Linked DNA regions of Schizosaccharomyces pombe. Changing the gene in region 1 together with any one later gene gives a genetic interaction. Each region holds a gene or a part of one and is shown in the gene's direction. Other genes may lie near its edges.

Region 1 (10,504 bases):
ATTGGTTAATGACAGGTGGTATATATGTGGAACCGGAGTTTTCACATTGTTTATACTAGTATCTAGTATTCAGTGGCTAAAAGTCTAATACAATTTTTTCTTTGAAATTCTTAAACATCTTTATGGTTTCGGGCAATTTATTCTATTCGTTTGGGTCTCCTTGAGTATTTTATCACCACTGCAAAGTACTCGTACTAAATTTGTAAGTTTTTTATTATTGAACGACAAAATAGTAACTACCACATCGTGAATAAAATGAGTTATATTACTGACTAACTCTCGTTTCGAAATGCCATGAAAATTTCGTTATCACAGCAGTATGGCTTTATCGATCATACAAGCTTATAACAGCTTCTAAATACTTAATTATATAACAATTGGGTTAATTTAGTTTTCTTAACCAACAAAAACACTCGAGAACTTATTACCGGACAACTAACTACGGGTATTATCACTGACAGTCTGTAAAAACTCCATACATACTTCTCCTACATTGACTTAGCTACTTTAGACTTGATAAGAGATATAACATATGTCAACGCGTCATTGATTAACTACATAACACGCCAATTATAAACTTCTCCCAAAAGAACTTAAGAATTTCCATTTTCAATCCAGATGAATTTATCTAGAGACGAACAGTAGCGGCAGCAGCCTTAGCACGCTTAGCGAGCAAAGCTTGGGTCTTACCACCCATGATACCACCACCCCACTTACGACGGCTTTCGTCGTACTTAGCAGAGAAGTTAGCATCAACGGCGGAGACAATAGAAGCGAGTTCGTTCTTGTCTTCCTCACGGACCTCAGTGACAGCTAAAACAGCAGCAGTCTTTTGGTGAATGACAGTACCAAGGCGGGCCTTGTTCTTGACAATGGCATAAGGAACACCCATCTTCTTGCACAAAGCAGGCAAGAAAACGACGAGTTCAATGGGGTCGACATCGCTGGCAATGAGAACCAACTTAGCCTTCTTGGCCTCAATGAGAGCTACAACATGGTTCAAACCATATTTAACATTGTAAGGCTTCTTAGAGACGTCTTGAGCAGACTTGCCGTTGGCAACAGCCTCGGCTTCAGCAACCAAACGTTGCTTCTTTTCAGCAGCAGTCTCAGGACGGTACTTGTTAAGCAACTTGAAGACCTGAGTAGCAGTGTTTTTGTCCAAAGTCTTCTGGAACTGAGCAATGGCAGGAGGAACCTTCAAACGCAAGTTCAAAATCTTGCGACGGCGTTGAAGGCGGATATACTCAGGCCACTTAACAAAACGGCTCAAGTCACGCTTAGGTTGGATGTCTTGTCCAATACCAAAGGAACGGGGACGGCTCACGAACAAAGGGTTCTTAGTAGTTTTTGCAGCCTTAGGCTGAGCAAAAGGTGAGGGTGCGACCTTTTTAGACTTGGGTGCCTACATTTATGTTAGATAGACTGGTTTTTATCAATTTATCGACTATTTCAATCGATTGTCACTTACCATTTTTGGTGGTTGTTCAAGTTAGAAGTTTCTTTCCACGACGGTTTTTTGGATACTGTGTGACTGTTTAGCAAACCCTACCCTAGGACGGTGTTTCAAACGTCGTACCCAAAACAACATCATGGCGAAAAAATATAACGATAGTTAGTGAAATACATGCAATTGTAGCAAAGGATTATGGATGTGGAAAATTGGAATATTTGAGTCTTTCATATACTTTTTATGTTTTTACTTTATTCTTTACAAATAAATACGATTAGTCTTAAGTTAATTTAGCACAAAGATTTAAAGTCTCACGCAAAAAAAAGTTTTCACACCTGAAAATCTGAAAACTTCAATTTCCATAAATATTAAGCTATCAAATACAAACAGAGTAATGATTTTGAAGAGCTGAGATCGAAAGAATTCTCGAGTTACTAGATTTCAAAAAATTTGGGATGCCAGCTCGAGTTATCCTATTAGGCTTGTATCCCACGGTCAATTCAGATCATTAATAGTAATAGTTAACTTTCCAGATACTCTACGGAGAGTTGAATTTATACTTTGATCTAACAAACAAAAATCAAGTTAATTAATAGATAAGTCAATTGAAAGCTCACCAGGCGAAATGTCTTATCTTGCCGCAAAGAAAAATATATATATAGTATACAGGATAAAACTTTTTTTCAAAAATTCAGATTTAGCTGATGTTTTTTAAGTTGTTTCAAGCAAGGTTTCATCTCTTGCTGATGCCAATAATTATACTCTTAAGTTCGAGTGTAACTGATAAAAAAAAATCAATCTTTGTAGTATAGGAGTTTCAAAAAACGTTTACATTCTTCAAACCAAAAAAAGCTAAAGGGCGCATTATCATAGAAAAAGTTTTTTCTAAATTAGCTCCGCAATCAGCATAGAGGAAATATGAAAACAATATACCGCACTTTCAAGAACTCAATAATAAAACGTACCTGAATTACAATTGCTCGACCTTTCTCCGAGAAAGTTACTTTGATAGGATCAGAGAGAAGATTAGCTTATAAGAAGATAGGTATCAACATCCGATCAATTTAATATCGGAGATCTGAACAACTTGTCTCATCATTTCCTTCTCCTGGTCGACTTTATGGAACTAAAGGGTTACAATTGCCATTCGTTTATTGATCGATAGTAAGCTTTCTTGATATCATTAAATAGGTTTTATAGTTATTTATCACCAAGTGTACATGTATTTCTAAAGTCATCCACTATGATTTAATCCAACGCCAATACAGATAAGTTTTAGTCTTTCAGTTATTTGAAGTTTCGATTCATAGGATTTTGAAATACAAGTTCAGCTGGCAATAGGAAACAGGTTAATTGCAATTAACAGAATATTACGAAATGTTGATAAAAATTCTAAATGCCGATATTGGTAGATGGGAAATTTGGTACCTGATATGTAGCAGAGTGACTTCATTTGCTCACTGATACAAAGCACTTGGCACGAGCAAACCACACTATAGGATGCTCTTATTTTAATAATTGGTGTCTAATAGTGCTTTTAAATACTTATAGAACATCTTCTCAATTCATATTATAATTCTTTCTTTTCCAATCTTGCATAGTTTTTAATCAACTGAGCAACGTGCATTGAAGATTTATTTCTTTGACGATAAAGCCCATACTTGGAGTATTTAAAACAAAGGTGTTGGAATTGGACAATATTTTAATCTATTTCGTCTTTTATTTTTTTTCGTAGTAACTTCTTTATACATAATGAATATCGACGAATGGCAGCGGATTGAAGAAACGGCGCCTGGAAATAAATGCTTAGCTAAGCTTAATGAATTGGAAAGTATATTAAAGGATGCAAAGAAATCTTGCCTAAAAGATCCTACTACATCTATGAAGGAATTGGTAGCATGCTCTGAAAAAACACAACAAGTTTTTGATGATCTGAAACGTACCGAGAAGAAGTTTCACACGTCTTTAAATCGATTCGGTAAAACTCTTGAGAAAAAATTTAACTTTGACTTAGAAGATATCAAGCTTCATTCATCGTTTGAAAGTAAAAAGCGTGAAATTGATACTGCTTTATCATTGCATTTTTTTCGACAAGGCGATGTTGAGTTAGCCCATTTATTTTGCAAAGAAGCTGGAATTGAAGAGCCCTCCGAAAGTCTTCACGTTTTTACGCTTCTCAAATCTATCGTTCAAGGGATTCGAGATAAAGATTTAAAGTTGCCCATCGAATGGGCCTCTCAGTGTCGTGGTTATTTAGAAAGAAAGGGAAGCAGCTTAGAATATACGCTTCAGAAATATCGACTTGTTTCTAACTATCTCACTACTAAGGATATTATGGCTGCGATACGATATTGCCGCACAAATATGGCCGAGTTTCAAAAGAAACATTTAGCGGGTAAGTTTAAATGATCATAAATATATTTAGGGAATTTTTGGTTTTTTTAACTTATATAAGATATCCAAAAGACAATGATAGCTTTGTTCTTTTGTTCCAGGAATGAGGTCCTTTCGGGTACAAATGACTCGCATGATTCCATCCATCATATAATATCAAACAACGCACAACTGAATATTCCCCAAGAGTATATTGATGTACTTGATCTTGATTGGAAATCCCTTGAACTTTTATTTGTTCGAGAGTTCTGCGCTGCATTGGGTATGTCCTTGGAATCCCCGTTGGATATAGTAGTAAATGCTGGGGCCATTGCTCTACCTATTCTGTTAAAGATGTCCAGTATAATGAAGAAAAAGCATACAGAATGGACTTCACAAGGGGAACTTCCGGTTGAAATTTTTTTACCCAGCAGCTATCATTTCCATAGTGTTTTCACTTGTCCTGTTAGCAAAGAACAGGCTACGGAGGAAAACCCTCCTATGATGATGTCTTGCGGTCATGTTATTGTCAAAGAAAGTCTTCGACAATTATCTCGAAATGGCTCTCAACGATTCAAATGTCCCTACTGTCCTAATGAAAATGTTGCTGCAGACGCTATTCGTGTCTACTTTTAAAAGGAATTTAAGATAATGATTTTATTTCAACTAAATTAAGAGTATTATAAATGCCACCAAAAGACTGTTTCCTAACCAAGCAAGGATTTCGCTATGCCAACGAGAATCCTAATTTGCGAAAGTGGTTTCAAAATAATGACTTAAAAAATTGATGGAAGTATTTATGAAGCTAAAAATTACTGTTTTTATCTTTGATGATTCACCTACTCTCCCTACTTGAGATCTCTTTTGAGTCAGAAAATCTGACGCATTGTAACCTGGTTACCTAAAGGTGATTTATGATTGTTACTTGGGGCGATGTGAATCTTTCGTTTGCCAAACAGAAAAGTAGTTAGAGTTTTAGGGGTATTTGACTTACAAATGGCTCTTTTACCATTTTTTGATCTTACGAACTTTGAGAGTGATGCTTCTGAAGAGTTAGGATGGCTTAAGTACGTCGGCAGAGTGCAAACAAGAGTGTTTCCTCAGCATTTCAAAGATAATCTCGAAAAAGTTCGCAAAATTTCGGAAACGATTGATGTGATCGTTGACACGACTGCTGAACTTGGACCAGAGGCCTGCGTCAACCTTTTGAACGCTGGTGCACTCGCCATACTGGTTAATGAAGAAATGCTAAACGAGTTGGCAGACATCTCTCCGAATCGTTTGGTTTTGAAGACAGACACTACTGATATTGGAAAAATTGAAAAACTTTCACAAGTTGCTGGTTCTATTCAATGGATCGGCAGTGCTGAGAATTATCCCCCTGACTTTTTTGAAAGAGCCAGCAAGATCATTCACAAAGCTGTAATGCCTGAGGGTGGAGGCCGAACTTTATATTTGGAGTTCCCCGAACAACCATCTATGGAGGTACTGAAATCTTTTTCTGTTCACTCTGTCGTTCCCGTTCTGTCAAGTTCTTTCTTGACAGTGAAGCCTGCCGAAGAGCCCAAGAAGTTATCATTAGCTGATCTCATTTTGATATCTGCCAATACTGATCGTGAGGATGGACTATTTTCTACTTTAGTCGTCAATGAGCTCGGTATTGCACTTGGTCTCGTGTATTCTAGCAAGGAAAGCGTTGCTGAGTCTTTGAAGACTGGCACTGGAGTTTATCAATCCCGCAAACGTGGCTTGTGGTACAAGGGCGCATCTTCTGGTGCTGTTCAACACTTAATTCATATTGACGTCGATTGTGATGAAGACTGCTTGCGCTTTGTCGTCTATCAAACCGGTAAAGGTTTTTGTCATCTTGACACCTTGCATTGCTTTGGACAAGCTTCAGGACTTTGTCAGTTAGAAAAGACTTTAATCGATAGGAAGAATAATGCTCCTGAGGGATCTTATACTGCTCGTTTGTTCTCCGACCCAAAGTTATTGCGTGCAAAAATTATGGAGGAAGCTGAAGAGTTGTGTGATGCTACCACCAAAGAGAATGTTATTTGGGAAATGGCTGATTTGATGTACTTTGCCATAACCCGCTGCGTCGGTTCGGGTGTTAGCCTTAATGACATTAGTCGTCATCTTGATTTGAAACATCGTAAAGTTACAAGAAGAAAGGGAGATGCTAAAGTTGCATGGCAAGAGAAACTTAAAGACAAAGGAGGAGTGGCAAACACGTCTTATACTGCCTGAATTTTTTAAATTTCTACTCTTCATTCGCAGATGATAGCAGTCGGTCTAAGGTGTAGTCTACTAAAACCTTGCTAATGCGGAAATTTTTACTTTGTGTAATTATTTAATAATGAAAAAAAATTCATATTTGCTGTTTGTACTAATATTATTTGTTTTATATTGTTTAATTTGAGCGCTGGATAGATAATAACTCAGACTTCATTAGCCACTGGCTGGTATTTGTTGCTCGACTTATTCCTACCAAATATCGACCTTGTCGCTGTGTATACCTTCTGTAATACACTAGAATTAGTTGAACTCTCTGTTTCAACATCATCTGCTTCACTGAATATAAGGCTCTTAGGCTTTTTCCATCTCCTGAGAAGTAAGCTACTTGCAAGAACACTAAGAGAAGAAAACATCATAGCAGCACTAGCCCACATAGGATTTAAGTAGATTCCCCATGGAAGGAAGAAGCCCATTGCAATAGGAATCATGACAAAGTTATATATGCAAGCCCACACAAGGTTCATTTTAATTCTTTTAACGATAACTCTAGACAAATCAAAGGATACTGCGGTATCAAGTAGAACGCCTTTACGTACAAGTATTACATCTGCACTTTCTAAAGCAATGCCTGATCCATTAATGGGAGCAATGCCAACATCAGCCAACACAAGTGAAGGCGAATCATTTATACCATCACCTACCATAGCGACACAATGCTTCTGATCTTTTAACTTCTGAATAATTTCAGCCTTTTGAGAGGGAACTGCTTCCGCGTAAACATCAGAGAAATCGATTTCTAGTCCTTGGGCAACGCGTCGGGCAGTGGCTTTTTGATCACCCGTCAATAAACAAACCTTTTTACCTAATTGTTTTAAAGCGGATACAGTTTGGTACGAGTCGGGCCGCACTTGGTCCATACAGCCCAAGAAACCTACAAACTGGCCATCGATAGCGATACGAACACAAGTAAGCCCACTACTAGAAGAAAGCTTCAGCTTTGAATCAAAGTCATCAGGTATCGACACGTTGTTATGTTCCAGTAACAGTGAATTCCCAAGCAAAGCATGAAAAGTCCGCTCTTTCCACCTAAGTACAACATCAACACCTTCACCTGGCACAGCATTGAATGATTCAATTCCAATTTCAGAAACATCGGTAAATTCTGAAGCTTTCTCAGTAATAGCTTTTCCAATTGGATGTTCACTTGAAGACTCTGAAGCTTTAACAAAAGCCCAAAAAATATTCTTAGGAATGTCAAGTAATTCCTCCAAATTATCTACAATGCTTATGTCGGTGACACTTAGCTTACCCACTGTAAGTGTGCCTGTCTTATCAAAGACAACAGTGTCAACCTGATTTAGACGCTCTAAAATTTCACCACCTTTGATGATGATACCGTTCAGAGCACCAACACCGGTTCCAACCATAACGGCTGTAGGGGTACTTAACCCCAGTGCGCATGGGCAGGCGACAACGACGACACTAATTGTCAATTTTAGGCAAACTGCAAACTTTCCCATTGGATCATCAAACACCGATGGGTATTTTGAAGAATATTTAGTGAATAAAAACCAAAATGTAAAAGTTGAAATTGAAAGAGCAACAATTACTGGAACAAAAATTCCAGCAACGCGATCGGCAAATTGTTGGATAGGAGCATGTGAGATTTGAGCCCTCTGAACAAGATCAACAATCACAGCTAACTGTGATTCTCTAGGTGATTTTGTTGCTTTTACAAGCAGTCGTCCATTCCCGTTAGCTGTTCCGCTCAAAAGTTCATCGTCAATTGTTTTATGCACTGGAACGGGTTCTCCAGAAACAGAACTTTCATCGACGTAGGAAGAGCCTTCAACAACCGTACCGTCTACAGGGATTATTTCGCCAGGCTTGACTAGAATGAGGTCTCCACGCTCGATGAGATCAGCTAAGATCTCAATTTGTTCATTGTCTTCTATTATCGTTGCACTGGAAGGAGCAAGGCTCAACAGTTGAGAAAGAGCAGCTGATGTAGAACCTTTAGCTTTACTTTCCAAATAACGACCTAACGTAACAAACGTCAATAGCATATCAGCGGTATCAAAAAATATAGGAGCAGGATTATCAGCATGTCTAGCGCTGTAGAGAATCATGAAAAAGATACTGGCAGCGAAGGCTACAGTGGAGCCCAAAGATACTAAAACATCCATATTGGCTGTTCCTCTTTTCAGTGCATGATATGCGGCAGAATAGTAGACCCTTCCAACACCAAACTGGACGGGAAGGGATAATACTAGGCTGATGATGTGGCCAGCACATATACCAAAATAATGGGGGACCAAAAAAGCAGCACGCATGGAATCACAAGAATCGAATATCTGGGGTAAAAACATCACCGCCAAAGAGAATGATATTGAAATAATAAATCGGATTTTCCATACTCTAATTTGACTCCCTCGTTGAAGTGACAGAATACGAGAGGTGGAGGAATCTACTGGTTGAAATGTACATTTGACACCCATAGATAATATTTCCTTCATGATGGAACGAGGGCCAGTAATCTCAGAATCATAAATGACACGTATAGCTGCATCCGGGGAGGAAGAGCAATTGACGGACAAAACGCCTTGCAGTTCATTGATATGATTATGTACTTTGGTCCATTGTTCCGCCTGCATAGGAGAAAGTAATAAATAATTAGCCATGACACCATGTTCACCCTCTGTTGAAGAAATCACAGACGCATCAAATCCACAATCTTCAATTTTCTCAGCGATCTGATCCGGTGAGATAATGCTAGGATCATGAACGGCAATAGCACGCTCAAGAAGCAACGATATAGTGAATTGTTCAATTCCTTCCACTCCTTCCAACATGGATTGGATAGAGGCCACACAACTGGTGCATGTCATACCCTGGACTGAAAGTGTAGTAGTATACATTTTAAGAAACTAAACAAAATTTTTAAAGGCAATCTAAATTATAAAAAGAAATAACGAAAAAGAAATAGTACAAGCCAATTAGAGATTAAATAAGGAAAATTAAGAGAAGCGAGTTACTGTATAGAAACGATAAATGTTGGAAATGTCGAAATAAATAGATAATAGTAAGGAACCCAAATCAAAGACAAGAGACGTAAAAAAAAAAAGAAACCCCCTCAAGTGAAGAAATAATCAAAATTTGACGATTAAAACCAATTACTTAATGTAAGTCAACAGCAAAAAGAGACAAGCCGATGATCAACAAAAGAAAATCAACATACAAAACTTTGGAAGGAAAAGAAAAATAACAAAAACGATACCAATGTTAAACAAAGCCAGCTAATAAAGTCTTTTTACACGCTTAGCAGTTAGCTGTTTTAGGTTGGGATACCACGAATTCAGAATTCGAATTCGCTTATTGTATCGTGATTTTCACCACAAAACGATTTAGAAAAAAATACAAAACAAAACGAATTCAACTTCAACAGACTACAGAAGAAGAGCAAATTATCAGCTGAACTTGTTAACAAAGTGTTAGTGAGTGTGTGGTAGATTACAAAAAGCACATGATGGCAGCGATATAAAACCGCAAAAACTCGCGCAAACTACGAAATATACAACTTGTAAAAATAATATTCAAATTGACATAATTATGTTTTAAATTCGAGGAGAATAAAAATCTTTGACAATAATCGATCGAAGCAGAGTACGACTTTTGGAACCGAGACGCATGCACAGTGCAAGCATATGATTCCACTCCCAATTGCTTAACAATGTGTAAAGACACTTCGGTAAAGCAAAATACAACAGTATGGCTAAGAACGTTATGTAAATATCGAAAATTGTAACGCAACATTCGATAAATGAGATTAAAACGGTAAACGTTAGAGCATGTCTTCTAATACCTTATCAAAGAATAAGGGAACGAAGCGTACATGGGTAAATTGTTGACCCATTCTAAACGATAAATAATAAATGGGACACCCAATAAAATAATTCAATGGATTTTGTCTTGGAAGAATTATTAATTCAAGTCGACATAAGGACCTTAACAAGAGCTGCCACAAACTTGAATAGTCTTCTAACCACTCCCACTAGAAAAATTATCGTTGAAGGTAAACATAAACATACTGTGCAAGCGCTAAACAGATTTACACAGATAAATTGAGAGGATCAATCAAGCCAGAAATCAAGAAAAGAGCAAAGATCAACTGCAGAATATCAATTGGCAGTTTTGGGGTTTGAACTGGTAAGTTTCAAGCCCAAAACTTACTAGATGACGGATTAAGGAGAATAAAAAAGAAAAAGGAAAGGAATAATCATTATGAAAAAATAAGTGGGGTTATATGGGTTTGCATGGAAAGAAGCTTAAGATTTCCAAAGCTTTTTAATACCCTCCGTAAGGCCAATATCATTCGTGTTGAACTCATAGACGCCAATAAGTGTAAGAACAGTACATCCACGTAAGATCCAGTGCATCAAA
Region 2 (9,101 bases), 1.2 Mb from region 1:
ATACGTAAAGACATGGATATGAGAGTTTATGTGGAATTCTTAAGTGAACACAATCAGCTACTTGCGGATTTTGGTGCCACGGATGATAACGATTTCGACACCTACATTTTTCTGAAGATTTTCGATTATGAAACTCAGCAAATATCCGGTTTGGCCGACCTACATGTTTCAAAGAATAGCCCCATTTCTTCACTTTCAGAGTGGATTCGTGAACATTTAAAGTGGTCTTCTGATGTTCCTATCACATATTATGAAGAAATTAAAACCGGCATGGTTGATGTTTTGGATCCGAATGCTAGTTTTGAAAAATCCGAGATCCAAGTGGGAGACATTATATGTTTTGAGAAGAAATTGGTCCATGATTCTTCATCGGACACCTCTCACCCTTACAAATCAGCTCTTGACCTCTATGATTTCATGGCACATAGAGTAGTAATTACTTTTGAGCCTCGTTATTCCGATGATACCAACAATGGTGTTTTTGATTTGGTGCTTACAACGCATACCAATTATACTGATATGGCTCGAGCAGTGGCCAATAAACTTAATGTCGATCCTAATTATCTTCAGTTTACTATGGCACATCTACCTTCGCGCACTCCTCGTTCAGTAATTCGTAACCCTTCGAAATTTACCTTACAAAATGCGATACCATCAACCTACTCTCATAACCAAAATGTGGTTATGTTCTATGAAGTCTTGGACATTACGCTTAGTGAACTGGAGCGTAAGCAATTAATCCGGGTGCATTTCCTGTCGAATGGTATTTCGCATGAAACTCAGATGGAGTTTTATGTTGACAAGGAAGGAACTGTGGAAGACATTCTTCGACAGGTTACTCAAAAAGTACCTTTAAATGCTGAAGATGCTTCGAGACTTCGTCTTTATGAAGTTTACAATCACCGGATTTTGAAAAGTCATCTACCCACGGATGGAATATATGATCTAAATGAATTCTCCACTGCTTATGTTGAAGTCACGCCCAAAGAAGAACAAATGCAATTAAAGACTGATGATGCAGTGTCAATTGTAGTACAACACTTTTTCAAAGACTTATCACGGTTGCATGATATCCCATTTTATTTTGTCTTACTTCGTGGTGAGACTTTGAAAGACCTAAAAAAACGGCTGCAAAAACGATTGGGCTATAACGATACCCAGTTCTCGAAAGTCAAGCTTGCAGTTTTGCAGGCCCAGTCATTTGGAAAGCCTTATTATCTTACCGACGATGATGAAGTACTCTATGGAGAACTTGAACCACAGTCACATATCTTGGGACTCGATCATCCACCAGCTAATGGTAGTGCTCAATACCATGGTATGGACCAAGCAATAAGAATGAAATAATTGTTTATACATCACCTTTTTAAACCTCCAATTTGAATGTTAGCGGTGCCATTTACTAGAAGCCAAGCAATTTTGTTTCAATCAATAAATTGATATATTCTGGCAAATAGTAATGCATTCGCGTAATGACGTCTTTGTTTCAAAATTTGCGAAGCACGCTTCGCATTATATGATATCTTACTATTTACTTGTTGTTTTGCGTATGATTAAATAAAATCGATAATCGCCCGCTCTTTTATACTCAAATTTTTCCAAAATGTATTCTTTTATCTCTACAGTGATTCATATTGTAGCAGAATGTAATGTTTATTGTTAATAATTGTAATCGTAACATTTGATAAAATATTCACATGAAACCCATAGCCAAAACTCATTTAAATTGGTGTTTTATTAAGTTATCAACCCATGTTTGGTCCATCTTACATATAATAATAATCTTGATGATCTGTATTCCTTACACGCTTTCACTGGGCATTAGCTTTTATCACCACCTTCAATTTCTAATCCACCAAGCTTCTGCGCCGTTTTACAAGCAAAACCATAAAATGGGTGTAGATCTTTCTGATATTAATGATTCCCTTTTCAAATTATCTGATAAACTGTCAAATGATTTGGCGAAGCAGAGAAACCTATGTATCGTAAAAGAACCATCATTCTCAATAGAGGAGCATATCAAGTGTTTTACAACTTGCATAAATACCTACAAACCATTTAGTTGTCTAAAGCATGCTAATTGGGCTTTATTGCTGGCAAAAAAGAAATCCGATACCGGTTTAATTGGTTATTGTCAATCTCTAAGAGGGTAAATACGATTTCTAAATTCCTATAATTCTGTAATTTGCTGACTATGTTTTACAGGCTTGCGTATTACTTACTTGAGCAATATCAAAGTTCTGCCATATGTTTTGGATTTGCCCTAAAACATTTAAAAAAAGAAGATTTAACAAAATGGCAAGTTCAACTAGACAGCATGCTTACGATCGTTCACGAACAACAGAATCAGGACACCTCATCGCTCATTCCAGATGAATGTCCAAATATTCCGGAATTAGAAGCTGCCAAAATTGAAGGAGACGAAGAGTTCCTTAATATGAGCTTGAAGGCGCCGGAAGGCCAAATAGAAAAAAACGAAGAAAAACTTTCAAATAGAATTCGTTATGACTGGTCCCAAACGTCTTTTTCCCTAAATATCGACATATATGCGAAGAAAGTCAAAGATGAAGATGTGAGCTTATTAATGGAAAAGAACACTGTAAGGACTGTGCAAAGCTAAACCGTCCGGCTAACCATTTTAGTTGAAAATAGAAATTAAGCTTGAAGATGGATCAATATTCTCCTTGGTTTTAGATCCTCTGTATGAAGAAATTGTTCCTGAAAAATCGTCATTCAAATTATTTTCAAGTAAGGTTGAAATTACCTTAATTAAGAAAGTCAGCGAGATAAAATGGGAGGCCTTAGTTAAGAGTCCGGCGAACAATTCGGTGAACGTCTATGCTAAAGATTCAAACCATTCAAGTGCTTCTGGTAATACGAAAAATAAAGCGAAGGATTGGGATTCGCTAGCAAAGCTGGCAGATTTGGAAGAAGACGAACCTACTGGAGAAGCTGCTTTGGCTAACTTATTTCAAAATCTGTACAAGAACGCCGATGATGACACCCGAAGAGCTATGATGAAAAGCTATACAGAAAGTAACGGCACTGCTTTATCAACTAACTGGAAAGATGTGAAAAGCAAAACATTTGAAACAAAGCCTCCACAGGGAATGGAACCAAAAAAATTTTAACTCCGAATGAACTTTTTACATTTACAAGCTTGAAGAGAAGCTTAACAATTTATTTATAATTATATATCTAATTTGATGAACTATCAATTGAGATTTATGCGAAATAAACTCTTGTAAACATTTACGTTTAGAGTAGCAAATTAAAAGAGTATAAGAAACAGTATTATTAAGTTCTTTTGCAAAGGCCATATGCAAATAGAATTTGAAAAATTAAAAGATTAATTGATAAAACCTTTAGAATTAATTCCAAAAGTTGCCTTCCGGTGTGAGTTGTATAAATTGAGCAGAAATGTTAAAAAAACCTTCTATTCCATCTAATATGAAAACAACCAGTATTATGATTTAATGCAGTGAAAATGAAAAAAAATGAGATATCAAATATACGTGATTAGTTTAAAAGTCATTAGTATATCTTAGTAGTAGCTGGAAACTCCATTAAGCAGCAATTCCTTAAAAATGTTCTGATCTCTTCTTTGAATGTTTTTTATGCTCTTCCGAAATTTCATGCTCATAGGAAGACTTGCGAATTGTAACAAAGGGGTCATTCAAACTGTTTTTGTCAAATTTATCTTTTTCATCGAGCAACTCACTAGATGATTCAGTTGAACTTTGTTTTAACTTCGTCTCATCAGAATCATCGTTCGAATGTGACCCAGAATTCGAGTCATTATACAAATCCGAAGATATGGATAAGGGTCGCCTTCCTGGAATTGGTGCCAAGGGTCTTCCTTGAACGGATTGAACTGCACCATACGATATAGAACGCCTTTTCTCCAAAGCACTAGGAGAACGATAATTTCCAATAGTTGCAATTGAATTCCGTTTAAGTATGCGAATATTATCTGAGTTAGCGACATTACCAGGAGGTGTGACAAAGTCTGCAGCATTGGCTCCTAAATCGCTTGAGCGCCTGGTGTCATTATAAAAAGATTGCGACCGTTGAGGTATAGTCGAATTACGTGGTGAAGAAGCCCAAGGAGTTGAATGCATTTGATAACCACCACGATAGCCCATTTTTTCTTGCTCAGTATTTTTTCGTACAGCAGCAAGACGAGATTTTTCTTCTTCAAACTGCCTTTCAAACTCTTGCTGCTCAGCTAAGAACTTCTTCCTCTTAAAATGACGAAGGCAGTAGAATATTATCACTAAAACAATTAACCCACCTAACACACCAACAATGGGACCAGCAATTACGCCTGTATGGTTATGTTTTTGAGCACCATTTGGTAAAGAAGATGCACTTGCCGAGGGTGGAGTAGAAGCAGATGTTGGTTCGGGGTTTTGCGTTGAAATAACAGTTGAATAAAAACCACTGTAAGAAGGATCATCAGTTGCTTCGGGTCCAGCTGTGCTAGTAACAGTTACTACGTCGAGAACATGAGATGGTTTGATATATGAAAAGTCGGAAGAAAAAACTGGATAAGAGGAAGGAAGTTCGTCGCCAGGAACGGTTGAAGCCAAAGAATCATTGGAAATTGACATAATAGATGACAAACCAATCGTAAAAATGATAGAAATTAGAATGTAAATGAAACTTGAAATTAAAAATCCAATAAACTATAAAATTTTGAATTTCTCAAAGAAAAATTCGTTAATCCCAAAAATGTCAGAGTAAATTGTTGACGGAATTTCGCGACAACTGATAAATAAGAAATATTAAAATCTTCTTCCAGTAACCTCTAAGTACAAGAATGCAAAAAAAACCCAAAATGATTTAAAATACCTTGGTTAAAATGGTAATAAAAGAGTAGATGGCAACTATTGGAGAAGAATAAAGCTATAAAATGATAAAATATACAGTATGTTCAAAGCGTGCGAGTTAATTAGACATACAAAACTATATAGCCGTTGAAAAAACCTTGACTTGAATCATAAGCGTTAATGTAAATAGGAAATAGAAAATGTTTTAAACAAATCTTACAGTAATTAAAAACGAACGACTAGGGAGTAAGGATCAGAGGAGAAATATTAGAATTGTAAATTTAGGCCAATTGCTCATTGGTAAAGTCCACAAGAGAAAATTCAAAAGTGAGACGTCTTTCAACGGTACAAAAATCAAACAAAAGAAGCACCAAAAAGATCAAAATTGCGATCAAAATTAGTCTATATTGAAGAGTGTCGGTAGCGGTTGGAAGACGGATGAAACTCCGGGACAACACTTTCCGCTTCACTAAAGTTGGCTGGTAAGTATAGGAGACAGGCACTAAAGAGAAAGTCCCGTTCCTTTTATTCAGTACGTTATGGGTAATACTAATAATTGCGAGAGGTTGTACAATTCTCTTTTAGTTTTTAAGAAAACTGGTTCTTGGCCACAAATTCTACAGATTTCGTATTACACTTAAATGCGAATTGCACATGAATGCAAAATGTATTAATTGTATAATTCAAGCAATGATAATTTAGGCGCTTGTTATATGAATGTTATTATATTAACTAAATTTTAAAAAAAAAAAAGGAGTGGATGTCCAATCTTGTTTTGTAAAACAGATATTGCATTTAAGAAAGAATAAACCTTTTAATTTTCAGATAGATGATTTGAAAGCAGCCTATTCCATGGGGAGAAAGAAGCAAGCGATTAACATAGCGCATCATCATTTGTGCATTCACGATTTTTTGGGGAAATAGACGATTAAATTAATGGTATAAAAGTTGTAAACACACATGTTTGGAAAAAGCTTATAAGTCGTATTGGTCAAAAATATGACACACATTTTGTTTTAAAAACAACAAACATCTTTGAGCGTAGACATAGATAATGGTCAATCAACTTGAAGAAGTTTTTAATTAAAAGAACGAGAATAGAAGAGAGGGGATCAAAAATAGGTTAGAGGAGTAATATTACGAGAAACAGAAAACTAAAAGACGACTTATTGCAACATTTCGCAAGCCAACTGACGGAGAAAAGATTATTTCGTAACCGATAACTTTAAACTTTTGAAAAAAGAGAGAGGTTGAATCAAGAAACAAAGTCTATGCGGTCGCTTCAGAAGAACCAAACGGTCGCGTTTGGAATACAGACATGTTTATTTTTTCTAAAACACTTTCGAAGCCTTCTTTTCCACGGGAAGCTTTCTTTCCAAAACCATCAACCGACCATTGTTCGATCAGGTTTGACAACCGCTTCATACACGCTAAGGCTTCAATTCGAGCCTCCTGTTGAAAAACAGTAGCTTCCAGTTCAGGATGGGGTGAGTAAGTCACCGTCTCATCTACTCTCAAACGATCACTAAACGTCAAGTTTGAGGTTAAAAGTGTTAAAGTGCGCGCTTTCAAGTCAACATAGCTAGTTTCTCGAATATAACAATCTTGCGCACCGTCAATCAATTTTAAAATCCATCTAGGAAGGGCCTGGTGACACGTGATCAAGCGTTCCGTATACAATACACCATTATCCAAAACCTTGCGATCAAGAGTATCCACGGCTATCACATGAGTAGCATGCTCATTGGGATACTTCTGCCAGTGAGCCGCTGAAACTTGTTCAAAAGGATATTGAAATAAGTGGCAACTTTCAAAAATCTTCATTTAGGATACCTAAATTTTATGAAATTTTACGTGAACTAAGTAAAAAAAAAAGAATGAATGACCCTTTTAAATCAAAAAAGTTAGCTAACTTCTTTTAGCTATTAACTTTTGTCTCTCAAGAACTAAGAAAACCAAAAGTTTCTTTCTGGGCCGCTCGTAAGATTTTTCTTTAATTTTTTTCTGAGGTAAGATCTACTAACTGATGCACCTTTACTTTTCGAGTTTGTTTTAAATTGAAATCAGCCCGTAAGTAAAATATGCTTTTTTTGGGATCTTTAACTAATGTACAATTTCTTAGTGTATGGTTTTTTTTATGTACAGAGCAGTGGAGCGGAACTATTTTTATATGCGGTTTTCTGGTTGGCGGGACAAAGGAGCTCCAATAATTAACCATTTTTACTTAAACTATAGCCATAAGCGAATCAATGCATTTGGTGGAGGTGGGGTACGACAGAGGATATGCATCGCACTTTTTATAAGGTTGTAGTTTACGATGCACTATATATAATAACGCACCAAAGCGGAATAAGGCCTATATTATACTAATGGGTTTTTAAAAGTGTCATTTAATTATGTTTATGGATAAAAGATATATAGAAATTTATATAAAATATGTACTTTATGTATTAACAACACTATCTCTTATGAAGGAGTTGGATTTGGTTTCTAGCTGAAATAATTCTTATTTGTTTTAGTTTTTTTTTTTTTTAATACGGTGATAATGCACAAGACTCATTGTTTTATTATGCTTGAGAAAATTATAGCATTTGCTACATCAAACACTAACTAGCCCGTAGAAGCGTATACGTAAAAGATAACAGAACTCTAGAATTTCAATCAAACCCAACTGGGCCTTAGATCGTCAAAATGCCGGGAGGAGATCTATCGTTGAGCAGTGCTATGAGAAACTATCAAAAATTTCGCAATCAAAAAGAAAGGGGGGAAATAAAAGATCAAAACATGCTGTGTCACGAGAATTCAAAATAGTATGCCTTTTAGCTTTCATGTTTTCTCTTTTCGTTTGCTTCGGTATGTAACGCAAAGAAGAATAAAGGAGCATGCTCAGCATTTTATAACTCAAGTAGGAAGAAAATATCAATTTTTTATTTCTTTAATGTACACTTACACGACTACAAAAATTGAGTCATGTACGTTATTTATAATAAACCTTGGGCCTTTAAATCGTTGTAAACCTTTTCAGACATCACATTACCTTCGTCATCTTCCATTTCATTGAGAGACGCCATTGTGGTTTCCCGCTTCTTTGAGTCCACCTTGTACTTTTGCCAAACTAAAAATTTTCGTTAGTAACATAAACTCACCAAATACAATCATTTTTTTCTTACGTTGCAAAGCTTCATCAATAGAAGTAATCTGATTGAATAAAGGTGAAGGTGATATTCCTAAACATTTTAACCCGTATATGTGCCTTTGTTCAGTAAAGTGTTTATCAAATGCCTTTCTACCCATATACACGTAATTTCCACAAATTTCACAGGGAAACTCTTTACCAAGGCCATGGAGTTTCCAAAGCCAGAATGGAATAGGTTTACCATCCCATCCCAATGGCAGCTTCAAAGGGTTATATATCTTTTCCTCATCATCCTGATCACTTTCCTCATCCTGATTTCCCTCAACACTTACGCTTGGAGTCGATTGTTCAAAGGCTTCTCTTTCCGCAGCCTCTACTTCTGCCAAACGTTCTGCAGCCGTCAAAGTTTGTCGACGAACAACATTTTCACGAGTATCCTTTCGAACATCGTCAAGCAAAGACGTTAACTTTTTTATTAAAAACTCGATACGGGCAATCGCTTTAGGTCCTTTTTGCTTCTCGTTCGTATTACTTGTGGTAGATGGACTAGAAGACTGCATCCTCTTAACGGCCTTATTATGTGCTTTGCTCTTTTTGTGAGCTTCAAATACAGTGATCTTCCCAAAAAACTTTTGACAAACTTCACAATAAAATGCTTCCGTCGAGTCTTTCCCATCTTTTTCGGCTTCAGCGTTGTGTGAATACCAACCAGGAAGTCCAGCTTCCCATGCTGCGTCGAATTCAGTATCAAAAACCGCAATAATCTTATCCAAGTTTGACAGAGGGTGTGTCCGGCGATAAAAGGACACCAAGTATTCGTATAAATGAGTTATATAGTTGATATATGTTTGATTTTTTTCAGGCTTGGGGATTTGATCAAAATCCTCCAAATTTTTCAAATATTCTAAGTAAGAAATATGCTGTACATTGCTTAAGTTTATATATTCTTCGTAACATTCGTTAAGATCCATAAATCGACCATACATCTCTTCACCTCGAAATAACGTGTCAATCTCGTCAATCCCGGGTTGAGAAGGCTTTATGGAATATAATTGACTCAGATCCTCAACTTTATGATCAGGATATTTTTTGTGAAACTCTTGGATCTCTCCCAGCGATTTATAAAACTCTGT
Region 3 (11,615 bases), 590 kb from region 1:
ACACAGCTTTACTAGAAGCTACTCTTTGCTTATCTCCGGGGACAGGCATTGCGAATACTGACAATGGTGCATATGATATTTATATGATTGGCGATGAAGATCCTGATGTAGATGCTGCTGTGTATAGGGGTGATCAGCAAGATGACAGTATTTTGCTTTCTTTGCCAGCCGCTTGGAATGTTTTTTCTTTGGTTTATAGAGATGAAGGTGTCCTTCAATTTGTCAAATATGTGTCGCGTCAAGCCGAATCTAGTCGCTGGGATATATATTCACAATGGAATCCCGTTGCTGAGTAAAGGCAACATATACTTAAAAGGGGTTACTTAATTTTTTTTTCTCTAATTTTTTGTCTTATTTTTGAAAGTTTTTCCCTTGTGTTTTTTAAAACCCACTTTCGTGTTGATAGTGTGTATTACATAAAAAGTTTTGGTTTACACTTTTACTGCTTTCTTAACTGGTATTCTTGTTGATTTAAAGTAAGTGTTCAATCGAACCTGTTTAAAAATCGTTCTTTTTTATTAAAAAGTCCGTAAATTTACAAATATCTAAAGTAAATTCGAATACCAATTTAAACATTAATTTTAAGATAAATAATAGATCCAATATGTTACAGTCATCATTTTTGTCGTAATCATAACACATTTATGGCAAGATGTAATAGTTCCTGCGGAGTTTTCCGAGAATTTTTGATATCTTTAGTAATACTGGGCCAAAAATAACCATGATGAGGATCAGCGGTTTCAAAACTTGTAAGCACTTCTTTCTGTTGGTCTTCGTTCCCAGCCTCTAAGCTATACTTATAAAACCAACACCACACATCTCCGTTATCTTGGTCAGCCTTAACAGCTTTTAAAAACCAACTACGCGCCTTATCTGCTTTTTTTTCCAGCCACAGCATCCTGGCGATGGTGCAAAGTAAATGTGCATTGCCTTCACATTTCCTTAAAGCATCTGTAGCACGAGTTTTACGCTGTGCGCGAGGTTCAAGCCATATAGCCTCCGTCCACAGCAAACCCGAAGATGGGCATTCCTGCAAGGCCTTAGCAAGGGCTGCACGAACTTGTGAAATATTCCCCGCCCGGAGTTCCATTTTTATAAGTTCAAGCCATAAAAATTCATTCTTAGGATTTTTAACCTTAGCCCTATCAAACACAACTCTCGCGCGTATAACGGACTGCTTTTCTTCAAGTTTGGCTAGCAAAAGCCACAAAGGTATGGAATAAGGACAAACTTTTGTGCCAGCCAAGTATGCGTCTCGAGCAAGCTCAATCTGCTCTTTATCTTCAAAAATTTGACCCTTCATCATGTACAACTTATCATAATGGGGATAAATTTTCAGTGCATTTTCCAAAAGTTGTAACGCCCGATCTTTTTCGTCCAAAATTCGTTCAAGCGAAATGGATTTAGTCCATATTCGTTCAGTTCCCGATTCGATACGAGCACGGGCAAGTAGCTTTCTGGCACGTTCATTTTCATTGTTCACAAATTCAATTCTGACAGCAGCAAGCCATATCTCTTCGCTATTAGAATTATATTCAAAAGCTCTCCCAAGAATATTCCGAGCACCAGCAATATCATTAACGTTTTTTCGCTCTTTAGCATAAAGCAACCATAAAATTTCGGCTTTAGGACATGATTCTACAGCTTTTTCTAAAATAGAACAAACACTTTCTGTTGTACCATACAGCTTTTCAAGTTCAACAGCTCTCAGCCAAAGTTTCTCACTTTTTGGATAGACTCTTAAAGAAAAAGCAAAAACAGCACGCGCACAATCTATACATTTACGAGCTATAAAAGATTGAGCATCATCTAACCAGGTGTCGAATTGATCTTCTTCATCCAATCCAACACCGAGGCACGTATTAATTATAGCTTGTGCAGTAATCACTGCCCCTTCAGTTTCGCATTTTTCAGCCTCGGAAAGCCACTGATCGCGTTGTAACATACCACCAGTAGCCTGTAACTCACTTACACCACGAGCCATTATTTTTTCCACCCGTGATACATTACCTTGCTGTTCTTCCAAACGAGCAGCAGCAATCCAAACCTCATGGGAAGTACGGATGGTTTGTCTGGCTTTATTGAGCACCTTTTTAGCATTCTCATAAGTTTCAAGTCGAGCAAGAGCTAACCATAAATCAATGGACATGGGTATTAATTCAACGGCACGAGCTAATAGTATCCTTGCATTATCCACTTCTTCTTCTAAATTTACAGCTTCTTTCCATAAGCTTACAGAAGTCGGGTTAAATTCTAAAGCTTTTTTTATAATCCTTTTTTTGTGCTGAGCTTGATTTTCAAGTTTTTCGGCTTCAAGCCATAACGTCACTGACTTTGGTAATTTTTTAACGGCATTTGCAATAATAACTTTTGCTTCTGCAGCCGGGTGTAGTCGTATTGCTTCTAGCCAAACATCCTCAGAGCGAGAACAATTTTCGCAACCTTTTAAAATTAAAGATTGTGCTTGAGATAATTTATTCGCGACCTCTTCAAGCCGCGCAGCAGCTACCCAGCCAGAGGCGTGCTTTGGATTCGTTTCAATAACACTTTGCAACAATTTTCTAGCTTTTCTTATATCACCCAGGTCATTGGCATTTTTTGGAACCATACTATTCAGACTAGTTAAATACCCCTTCGGATCTATAGTCGATGGTGAAGTCAAATTCGACGAAGCTTGTGCTAACTTGATACCTAAAACTTTGTCACGAGCAGCTCCAATTTCAACAAAATTTGTTTTTGTCCCATTCATATCTGGAGTTTCTGTTCCTGCTTGAGTATCCACTGCAAAATTAGAGATAGCTTGATTTTCATTGCGAGCACTTGCAAGAACAAAATCACTTGTTGCATAAAATCTTTCACGTCTCGGCTGTTTAGTCCTTTTTTTACGAGTTAGATCGCCGGGTTCTGGGATATTATTCCAGTCTTCATCTGTCAAAGTGGATAACCCACGTTTTAAGTCCGCAAATTGTGAAGAAACCTTGGGGTTTTCTTTTTCATATTTTTCTTTCTGTAGCTGTTCTTGTTTTTCACGTTGGGATTTTCTTCTTTTACTTAAATGTTCCTCTACAGATTGATATATTTTATCAGCTTCTTCGTCCTCATGATCATATGGAGCAGTAGCAAACAGCGCTACTTCATTGTCAGGATCCTGATAACGAGGATCGATATCTTCTTCTTCCTCTATTTCTGATTTCCTTTGTTCAATTGCAGCCTTTATAGATTCTTGGGATGGCAATTCTTGAGCAGGCCCAAGATCTGAACGCGTTGTAAATCCTGTTGCACCACGTCCTAAACCTGCTACATAGTTAGGAGGTGGCTGCATATTCAGAAAATCTGGATAAAAGTTTGCCATTCTAATTATCTGCAATTAAATGCAATAAGCCGAGCCTTTCGGCTTTATAAATATCTGGTAGTGGCTTTCAAATTTTAAAAGTAGGCAATACGAAGAAGAGAAATTAACTCCTAGCAGCTTTACTACAACAAAGTTAAAAAGAGCCATTAGGTAAAAGTAAATTTAGAAAAACTTAAGATAGAATATTTCTTAAACAAAATAAATTTCCTACTGTATGTAATGATTTTACAATCAAACGATATATAAATAAGCATTGTGATTGACTTGTTATACACTGAACCGCTAACACACGAGTATTTATGATTTAGCATTTGATAGCCAAATAAATTTATTAGATTTTTTGCAACAATTTTGAAAAAATGCATGAACAGTGTTTTCTTCCTTTCTTTTATTTTCCTACTTTTCTTTGAAGATGAATTTACACTTTGTAAATCAATGTCGTGTAAAGTATGCAGAACGGTTGAAATTACGAAAAATATTGTTCATCACAAGCTTTGTGAGTATTGGAATTAAACAAATCTTAATTGAATCCGAGTGATAACTGGACAGACGTTGCAGCAATATTTTTGCATGGCCACTACGTTTGTCTTTTAATGTCTCGGTATATTATACTGGTGTTTCAAATCAATGCTCATCGTATCTAGTATGAGTGTACCTGGACACATCAGTCAAATTTATTTTCGCTTGTAAATTGTCTTATTCTTTATCATAATGCCAAACCATTGTATTTAGAATTTTATTTGCAAAGTAATTTACCAAAACATATTTAACATCTTAAATAGACATGCTTGAGCTACGTTGATTAAGTGTTTTGATTATAACTGCAGGTTGTGCAAGGCTAATGTAATATCTTTTAGAAGTATATTCGTTGGATTGATAAGTTCTAAGAAATTTATACTGACTCCAGCCATAAGATGCAAGCAAGTCAGTTTCACAAAAAAGAATAAAAGATTCAGATATGTTAGATTAGAATCATCTGCAAAACACTGATATCAAAATATGATAATAATCGGCAATATATATGGCTCGTTTCATTTTTAACTTAGCTTTTCCAGGTTAATTTTGGGTATTAAAATTGTTCTATTTTATTCCATTTATAAATATAGGCATGAATTATGTATGTAGTGTGTAAATAAATTTGGTTTAAAGAAAATACGGCAGCTAATCTAGCTGTATCTTTTTCTCTTTTTTTTTTTTTTTTTTTAATATTATAAATTTCAGGAGTACCTGTGTAAATGATAATGATATATTCAGAATGATATTTTAATAAATACAGCGTATATTAACCATCTGTTTACAACTTGAGTGAGTATAGTAGAATCTGATGTGTGGATTTTCACTTATCATAAAAAAAATTCAAGAAATATTAATTAACTATTGTTATTTTAAGACTGTGTAAATAAGCTGTTTCTACAAATCTCCTGCTTGATAACATTATATATGCCAATGTTATTTACGCTGTCCACTGTTGCGTTAATACATGGATACAGCAATGAGTATTCTATTCGAATATTCAATATAAAAATGCAAGCTTACAGGAAATGATACAAATGTTGTTTTAATAAGCAATATCTAATCAGCAGTATAGGTAGACTCGACAGCATACATCTGCACTCGGAAGTCTAAATATGGTAATAGTTCATGCACAGTATTCTTGGTTTTTAATTTATTTACACAATAAAAAGAATAACCCCAGGATGTTCAATTATTGGACCTCTGGAGTTCTACAAACAAGGAAAATTGAGTTATAATGATATTACTCGTTGCAGTACTGTAACGTACTGCAATTTAGTTTATAATTAAACGAATTAATAAGAGTTTGGTATGCAGGATTAGGAGTATTAATTAAGCCCTCTGTAAAACATGATGGTATTTTAGTTGTAGCGATACGTTAATCAACAAGATGCACGTATATTATTAACTAATGTTAATATTCTGCCTACCTCATGTCCATCCATCCATAAACACCTATAGCAACCCATGTCGTGTCCGCACCTCACAGAGACAAACGTTGTAATCCCAGATAATTCTCAGGTAATATATCGTGAAGAATGCGTCCGTTGCTTTAATTCGCAGGTATGTTTTTTAAATAGCTTGTTTTAAAACATGTACTCAGAGGAGTTCAAATTCGTTAACAAACGTTAGGATGAAGAAGGTGGAATTGATTTATGCTTAACCTGTTTTCAATCTGGATGTGGGGAAACTGGGTTAAAACACTCACTTGTCCATTTTGAACAAACTTTGCACCCAATTGTGGTCACCATTGCCAGGCAACCTAAGCAAAAAATTAATGATGAGCCTCCCCAAAAAATTACGAAACTTGAGATCAGAGAAGATAGTGATGAAGATTTATATGATTATTTTTATGTCCCTAAGTGTTTGGTCTGTAATATAATATTAGATATACAGGATCCCTTACTTTCGTTATCATTAGAGGCAATGAAAAATGCTACCAAGGCATCAAACAAAAGTCAATTAACTGCATGGGAAAATGAATTAACTACTTGTGATCATATAATAAATTTACCAGAAAATGAAACTTACGTCACAAATTTGGACAATGCTACATGTTCAAAATGTGATCTTGCAGAAAATCTATGGATGTGTTTAACATGTGGCGCATTAAGCTGTGGAAGAAAACAGTACGGAGGAGGTGGTGGGAATGGGCACGCCCTTTCTCATTATGATGATACAGGACATCCGCTTGCAGTTAAACTCAAAAGCATTTCACCTGATGGTCAGGCTGATATATATTGTTATAGTTGCGATGAGGAAAGAATTGACCCAAATATAAAGACACATATGCTAAATTTCGGCATCGATATCGCCAAGTTGAACAAAACTGAAAAATCTTTGGCTGAACTACAATTAGAGCAAAATTTAAATTGGGATTTTGGTGCCTCCGAAGAGGATGACGCTTCAAAAAGATTGTTTGGACCAGGATTAACTGGTCTTAAAAATCTTGGTAATAGCTGTTATCTGGCCTCAACTATGCAGTCGTTGTTTTCTATTAAGGAATTTGCTATTCACGAATTAAACCTTTTCAACACTTATAATTCTGTTTGTCAAACCCCCACTACAGATTTGCAATGTCAACTTGGTAAACTAGCTGATGGTTTAGTAAGTGGGAAATTTTCTAAACCTAGCAAAATTGGTTTACTCAATAATCCTTCTTCATCGATTCTTCCTTACCAAGATGGTTTGAGGCCTTTTATGTTCAAAGATGTTGTGGGACAAGGGCATTCTGAATTTGGAACTTCTCAACAGCAAGATGCTTATGAGTTTTTATTGTATTTGCTGGGGAAAATACGGAAATCTAGTATTGCGAAAACTGACATTACTAAGATTTTTGACTTTGAAACGGAGCAAAAATTATCTTGTCTTTCCTGTAAACGCGTTCGCTATTCTTCTTTCTCTTCTCAGGGATTGACTTTGACAGTTCCGCGTGTTAAAATTGGTGAAATTGAGGGTGAGCAAATTTATGAAGAAGTCTCAATAGACCAATGTTTAGATGCAACTATACAACCAGACCAAATGGAGTATACTTGTGAAGCTTGTAAAAGTAAACTAGGAGCTACAACTACTACTGCCATGAAGTCGTTCCCGAAAGTCTTGATCCTACAAGCCAACCGGTTTGATTTACAGGGATATCAAGTTAAGAAATTAAGCATCCCTATAATAGTTAATGAAGACGGAATTTATAATTTCGATCGCTTAATGGCTAAGGACCACCCAAATGACGAAGATTATCTTCCTGAAAAGACAGAGACCATTGAATGGAACCAAAGTGCTATTGAACAGCTTCAAGCTATGGGATTTCCTTTAGTCAGATGCCAACGAGCATTACTCGCTACTGGAAATTCTGATACTGAAACTGCCATGAACTGGCTATTTGAACATATGGAGGACCCTGAAATTGACAAACCTATTGAAGTTTCTGAATTACTGCCCAAAGCAGACTCAAGTGTTTCAGAAGAAAATGTTCAATCATTATGTGAATTCGGCTTTACTGTTGCACAAGCACGAAAAGGATTGCTTGAATCTAACAATAATATTGAGCGCGCAGTTGATTGGATTTTAAATCATCCGGATGAAAGTTTTGAAGAACCACCACTTGAAGGATCAGATTCTTCAATAAAAAATGAAAATATGGGTAGTTGGGAATCGACAAACGTTCCAGTCAACTACAATTTAAAGGCCATAATAAGCCATAAGGGCTCAAGTGCGCATGCCGGTCATTATGTAGCATTTATACGCAAAGAGATAGATGGAAAGCAGCAATGGGTTTTGTTTAATGATGAAAAGGTGCTTCAAGTTGCCTCCTTGGAAGAAGCAAAAACTACCGGATATGTCTATCTTTTTGAAAGGCTAGATTGACATTAATTTATATCATTTTTTTTTTTTTAATAGCAATCATCGGAGCGTCTTATTGAATTTTGGGTTGAGCAGAATTTGGTAGCATACAACAACTAAATTTTTTTAACATTACATTATCAAAGAGACCCGGATTTAAGTCTTTCTTTACAAAATAGACCAACCATTCAGTTTGGCTTTAAAAACTCCTTTGACGCAAAAGTCGTTTTACAGTCATCACTCCCCGAATATTTGAAATAAATAAAAAATATCCTTAATAGCATTTTGAGTTACCTTCTGTGAACGAATTTCGTATTTTAAATTTTGAAAGAGTAGTTTTGATTGTAAGTATCCACGCACCATTCCAATTAAATGCTATATCGTCTCCACGGTCAAGAGTTTCAAAATATGTAAATTTGACCCTAAATACATAAGAGAGCTGACATTCATTTTATTTGAAAATATATCTGAAACCCAATTGTAAGCTACGCAGTTTGGTATCTGATTTAAGGATACGTAGAACTGCGGTGAGTTTTCCTTGTGATCTATTATATTACAATACACAGGTTGTATAAGTAGCAACTGAGTATAGGTATTGTATTAACTGGGTTATAATGTTACCTATCACTAATATAGCTCATAACTGAACTGAGGAACGAGGTTCAGCAGTAGCTCTATTTATAGTATTCAGATAATATTGATCTTAATAGATTATCATTAAGATCAATCTCCATATCGTATCATACATGGTACGATATATAATTAGAACATGTGACATATAGTGATACGCAACGTAGTGTAGTATTGCTGACACCAATGTAATTATAGCATATTTGCAATATTCAATATATTCTGTAATAACGCAGGTGTAAATTGGACTTGCCCTAAATAATTTCTAATTTAACGAAATTTAAAGCACAGTGATAAACAGTTCACGGCTTCAACATGTAATGACATCTATAATTTACTACACTACTTACTGTGTATACCCAGCAGTATATAGTAACTGTGTAGCAAACTAACGTTGTAGCAACGTTCAGAAATGTTTGTTGGAAAGGCATTGCAGTTTCAGTCATTCCATTCCTCCATTGATGCTACGTTTTGGCATCAATTGAGCAATTACAAAGTCGAAAAGCAAAAATTAGACGCGTCACCTTTAACTATTCATGGTAAATTTAATACATATTCAAGAGGAAATATATCAATTGTATTTGGAGAAGCGCCATCAAACAGGTAATGAGTGTACAATAATGCTTCATCTAATCTGTCCCTAGTAATATCAAAGACTGTTTAGCCGAGGGTACACTGTTAAATGCCAATACTCCTCAAGAATTTACTAACGCTGACGTGAAAAAAATTCGAGAGGAAATTGGTGAAGTTGTAAGTAGATTGATACAAAAGCTCATTAACATTATGTATAGTTATTAAATTCAATTAAAAACGGAGTTGTTTCTGAAAGGCCTAATGAATTACTTAGATTTCTTATATTTTCTTACGCCGACATAAAAGCTTACAAATACCATTATTGGTGCTTATTTCCTTCGTTTAAAGAAACTCCTCACTGGATTGTAAAAGACTTATCACCAGCTGAATCGCTAATACCTTCAGGTCCAATTTTATCTCAAATTCGTGAATTCTTGTCTACAGCTGATTACTATCAACGCCCTTTTTTCTTATTAATAAAATCAACATTAGATGAATGGACTATTGCACCTCTGAAGGAGCTTTCCCACTGTGTGGACAAGTCGCTTCAGGTATGCCATCGATTTTTAATCCAACTAACACGTAGTTTTATCTCGTTGCAGAAGATTCTGTTCAATTGGCAGAATATCCATCTTGGCCAGTCAGGAATATCCTCGCTTTTGCATTTATTAAGTTTAAATTGAAAGTGATTAATTTATTTCTATATCGCGATGGGATTAATTCTGATACGCTGTCGAAAAGCATACTAATAAAAGTTGAAGCAGATAAGGATATGATTCTTGAAGCACCCCTTTCAATCGTTGGATGGGAAAGAAATGGAAAAGGCGTTTTAGGTCCCCGGGTCGTTAATTTGTCTACGGTCCTTGATCCTTTTGTATTGTCTGAATCTGCTTCAACGTTAAACCTAAGCTTGATGAGATGGAGACTAGTGCCGCAATTAGATCTCGATCGTATTCAAAACTCAAAATGTTTACTTCTGGGGGCCGGTACTCTGGGTTGTGGAGTGGCAAGGAATTTGCTGGTAATGAAATTGAAATAAAATATTTATATGAAGCAAACGACCAAATTGCTAACGTTCTAGTCGTGGGGGGTGAGACATGTTACATTTGTGGATTACTCTACTGTCTCCTACTCAAATCCTGTCCGCCAGTCATTGTTTACATTTGAAGATTGCAAACGAAAGTTGCCAAAGGCAGAGTGTGCGGCGCAACGGCTTAAGGAGATATACCCGAATATGGTACAAAAAATTATTATGAATGCAAGCTAACAAAGAAGTTTTCAACGGGATATAACATCAGCATACCAATGCTTGGACACCCTATATATGAAGCTGGCATTGAGAAAACTATGCATGATTACGAAACTCTTGAGAACCTTATTTCCACTCACGATGCGATATTCTTGTTGACCGATACAAGGGAATCACGTTGGCTTCCGACAGTCATATCAACTGCCATGGACAAGTTGTTGATCAATTCAGCATTAGGATTTGACAGCTGGCTGGTCATGAGACATGGTAGTGTTTTACAAAAAGAGAATCGCTTAGGTTGTTATTTTTGTAATGACATATTTGCGCCTTCAAACTCACTAGTTGACCGTACACTTGATCAGACCTGCACAGTAACACGATCAGGATGTGCTAACATTGCTACAGCAATAGCAGTAGAGTTATTTGTTAGCTTGCTGCAGCACCCCAATGGGTACGGAAATTTTTTTTAGAATTATTAATTATCAATTTTAGACATGCTGCACCTGTCTTAAATGAAGATCAAACTGTGTTAGGTGAACTTCCCCATCAAATTCGAGGGTTCTTGCATAATTTTAGCCTAATGAAAATTTCAGGGATGGCTTATCCTCAGTGTTCAGCTTGCAGTGAATGTATTATAAATGAATGGAACAGAGAGAAATGGATGTTTGTTTTACGAGCCATTAATGAACCGGACTATGTTGAAGAATTATGTGGATTAAGAGAAGTACAAGCATTAGGTGAAATTGCTGGCACAATGGAAGAATGGATTAGTGATAAAGAAAGTGTGATTCTTTAATGGCGTGTGTTATGGACCAGTATACTAATGAATTAAACTATGTTTGGAAAAATCGATAATTGAAAAATCTATGAAGTGTTAGACAAAATCTATTTAATTTATTTTTTCATTGTAAATCCTTTCTTCAATTCATTTATCTCATCATTTCTTTTTTTTAACGGACTTATTGAGCGTCGTAATGTACTTTTAGTAGGTTGTATTGTCTCTAATAGAAAGCTAGATTCGCTATCTTCTTCTGTAAATTCACAGTTAGAAACAGTATCCTTCAACTTTCTTTTTTTTCTGATTGGAATCTTAGAAGGACTCAATGATGATGGGGATTGTGGTATTTTTAAGTGATCATTATGATTAATATCACTTACATTTGAAGGGATGGTATCGTCTAAGTGTTTTTTAAGATAACGAGCATTGGATGGGCTTACGGTCATGGAGTGGGGATACTTGTCACGCGAAAAAGGCTGTGAGGACTGAGCTGATGGCGATGATTGAGGCGGACTAGAAGATAGCCCTATAGAAGTAGAAGTTTTTTGAAGAAAAGGGGTAACGCTCAAGGGGGATCCTGAAGTTGCATTTGGTTGTCGAGTACCCATAATTGCCTGTTTCGAAGGGGAAAAAAGTTTTGGGGACGAAACACGAGGAGAAACAAGTAAACTCTTTCTCTC

What was found.
Region 2: of his7 (region 1) and git7, changing one enhances a phenotype caused by changing the other (phenotypic enhancement), as found in Schizosaccharomyces pombe (one study listed by BioGRID).
Region 3: of his7 (region 1) and atg7, changing one enhances a phenotype caused by changing the other (phenotypic enhancement), as found in Schizosaccharomyces pombe (one study listed by BioGRID).

Annotation. Positions count from the first base shown.
Region 1 is NC_003423.3:2,036,465-2,046,968, reverse strand, and holds his7 (phosphoribosyl-AMP cyclohydrolase/phosphoribosyl-ATP pyrophosphohydrolase His7), read left to right. Parts: upstream 1-4,776; 5' UTR 4,777-4,822; coding exon 4,823-6,076; 3' UTR 6,077-6,236; downstream 6,237-10,504. Other genes in the region: rpl8 (60S ribosomal protein eL8), read right to left, coding at 629-1,405, 1,472-1,474; gid2 (ubiquitin-protein ligase E3), read left to right, coding at 3,206-3,848, 3,909-4,462; Cu(2+) transporting ATPase Ccc2, read right to left, coding at 6,268-8,982; SPOM_SPBC29A3.21 (uncharacterized protein), read right to left, coding at 9,575-9,877; TIM22 inner membrane protein import complex and succinate dehydrogenase (SDH) anchor subunit Tim18, read right to left, coding at 10,390-10,504.
Region 2 is NC_003423.3:858,786-867,886, reverse strand, and holds git7 (SGT1-like protein Git7), read left to right. Parts: upstream 1-1,857; 5' UTR 1,858-1,892; coding exon 1,893-2,149; exon of another isoform or gene 2,150-2,205; coding exon 2,206-2,599; exon of another isoform or gene 2,600-2,642; coding exon 2,643-3,131; 3' UTR 3,132-3,232; downstream 3,233-9,101. Other genes in the region: ubiquitin hydrolase Ubp15, read left to right, coding at 1-1,347; SPOM_SPBC36.11 (uncharacterized protein), read right to left, coding at 3,582-4,613; phosphatidic acid transfer protein Ups2, read right to left, coding at 6,102-6,656; U2 snRNP-associated protein sap61, read right to left, coding at 7,814-7,947, 8,003-9,101. UniProt on the Schizosaccharomyces pombe protein: Involved in cyclic AMP (cAMP) pathway, possibly by participating in the assembly or the conformational activation of specific multiprotein complexes.
Region 3 is NC_003423.3:2,633,727-2,645,341, reverse strand, and holds atg7 (E1 Atg8 and Atg12 E1 activating enzyme Atg7), read left to right. Parts: upstream 1-8,733; 5' UTR 8,734-8,747; coding exon 8,748-8,938; intron 8,939-8,979; coding exon 8,980-9,085; intron 9,086-9,126; coding exon 9,127-9,459; exon of another isoform or gene 9,460-9,494; coding exon 9,495-9,929; exon of another isoform or gene 9,930-9,989; coding exon 9,990-10,145; exon of another isoform or gene 10,146-10,183; coding exon 10,184-10,608; exon of another isoform or gene 10,609-10,649; coding exon 10,650-10,953; 3' UTR 10,954-11,051; downstream 11,052-11,615. Other genes in the region: ofd1 (2-oxoglutarate and Fe(2+) dioxygenase domain-containing protein 1), read left to right, coding at 1-296; U4/U6 x U5 tri-snRNP complex subunit Prp1, read right to left, coding at 632-3,352; ubiquitin hydrolase Ubp14, read left to right, coding at 5,333-5,428, 5,498-7,729; microtubule-site clamp monopolin complex subunit Mde4, read right to left, coding at 11,052-11,615. UniProt on the Schizosaccharomyces pombe protein: E1-like activating enzyme involved in the 2 ubiquitin-like systems required for cytoplasm to vacuole transport (Cvt) and autophagy. Activates atg12 for its conjugation with atg5 and atg8 for its conjugation with phosphatidylethanolamine.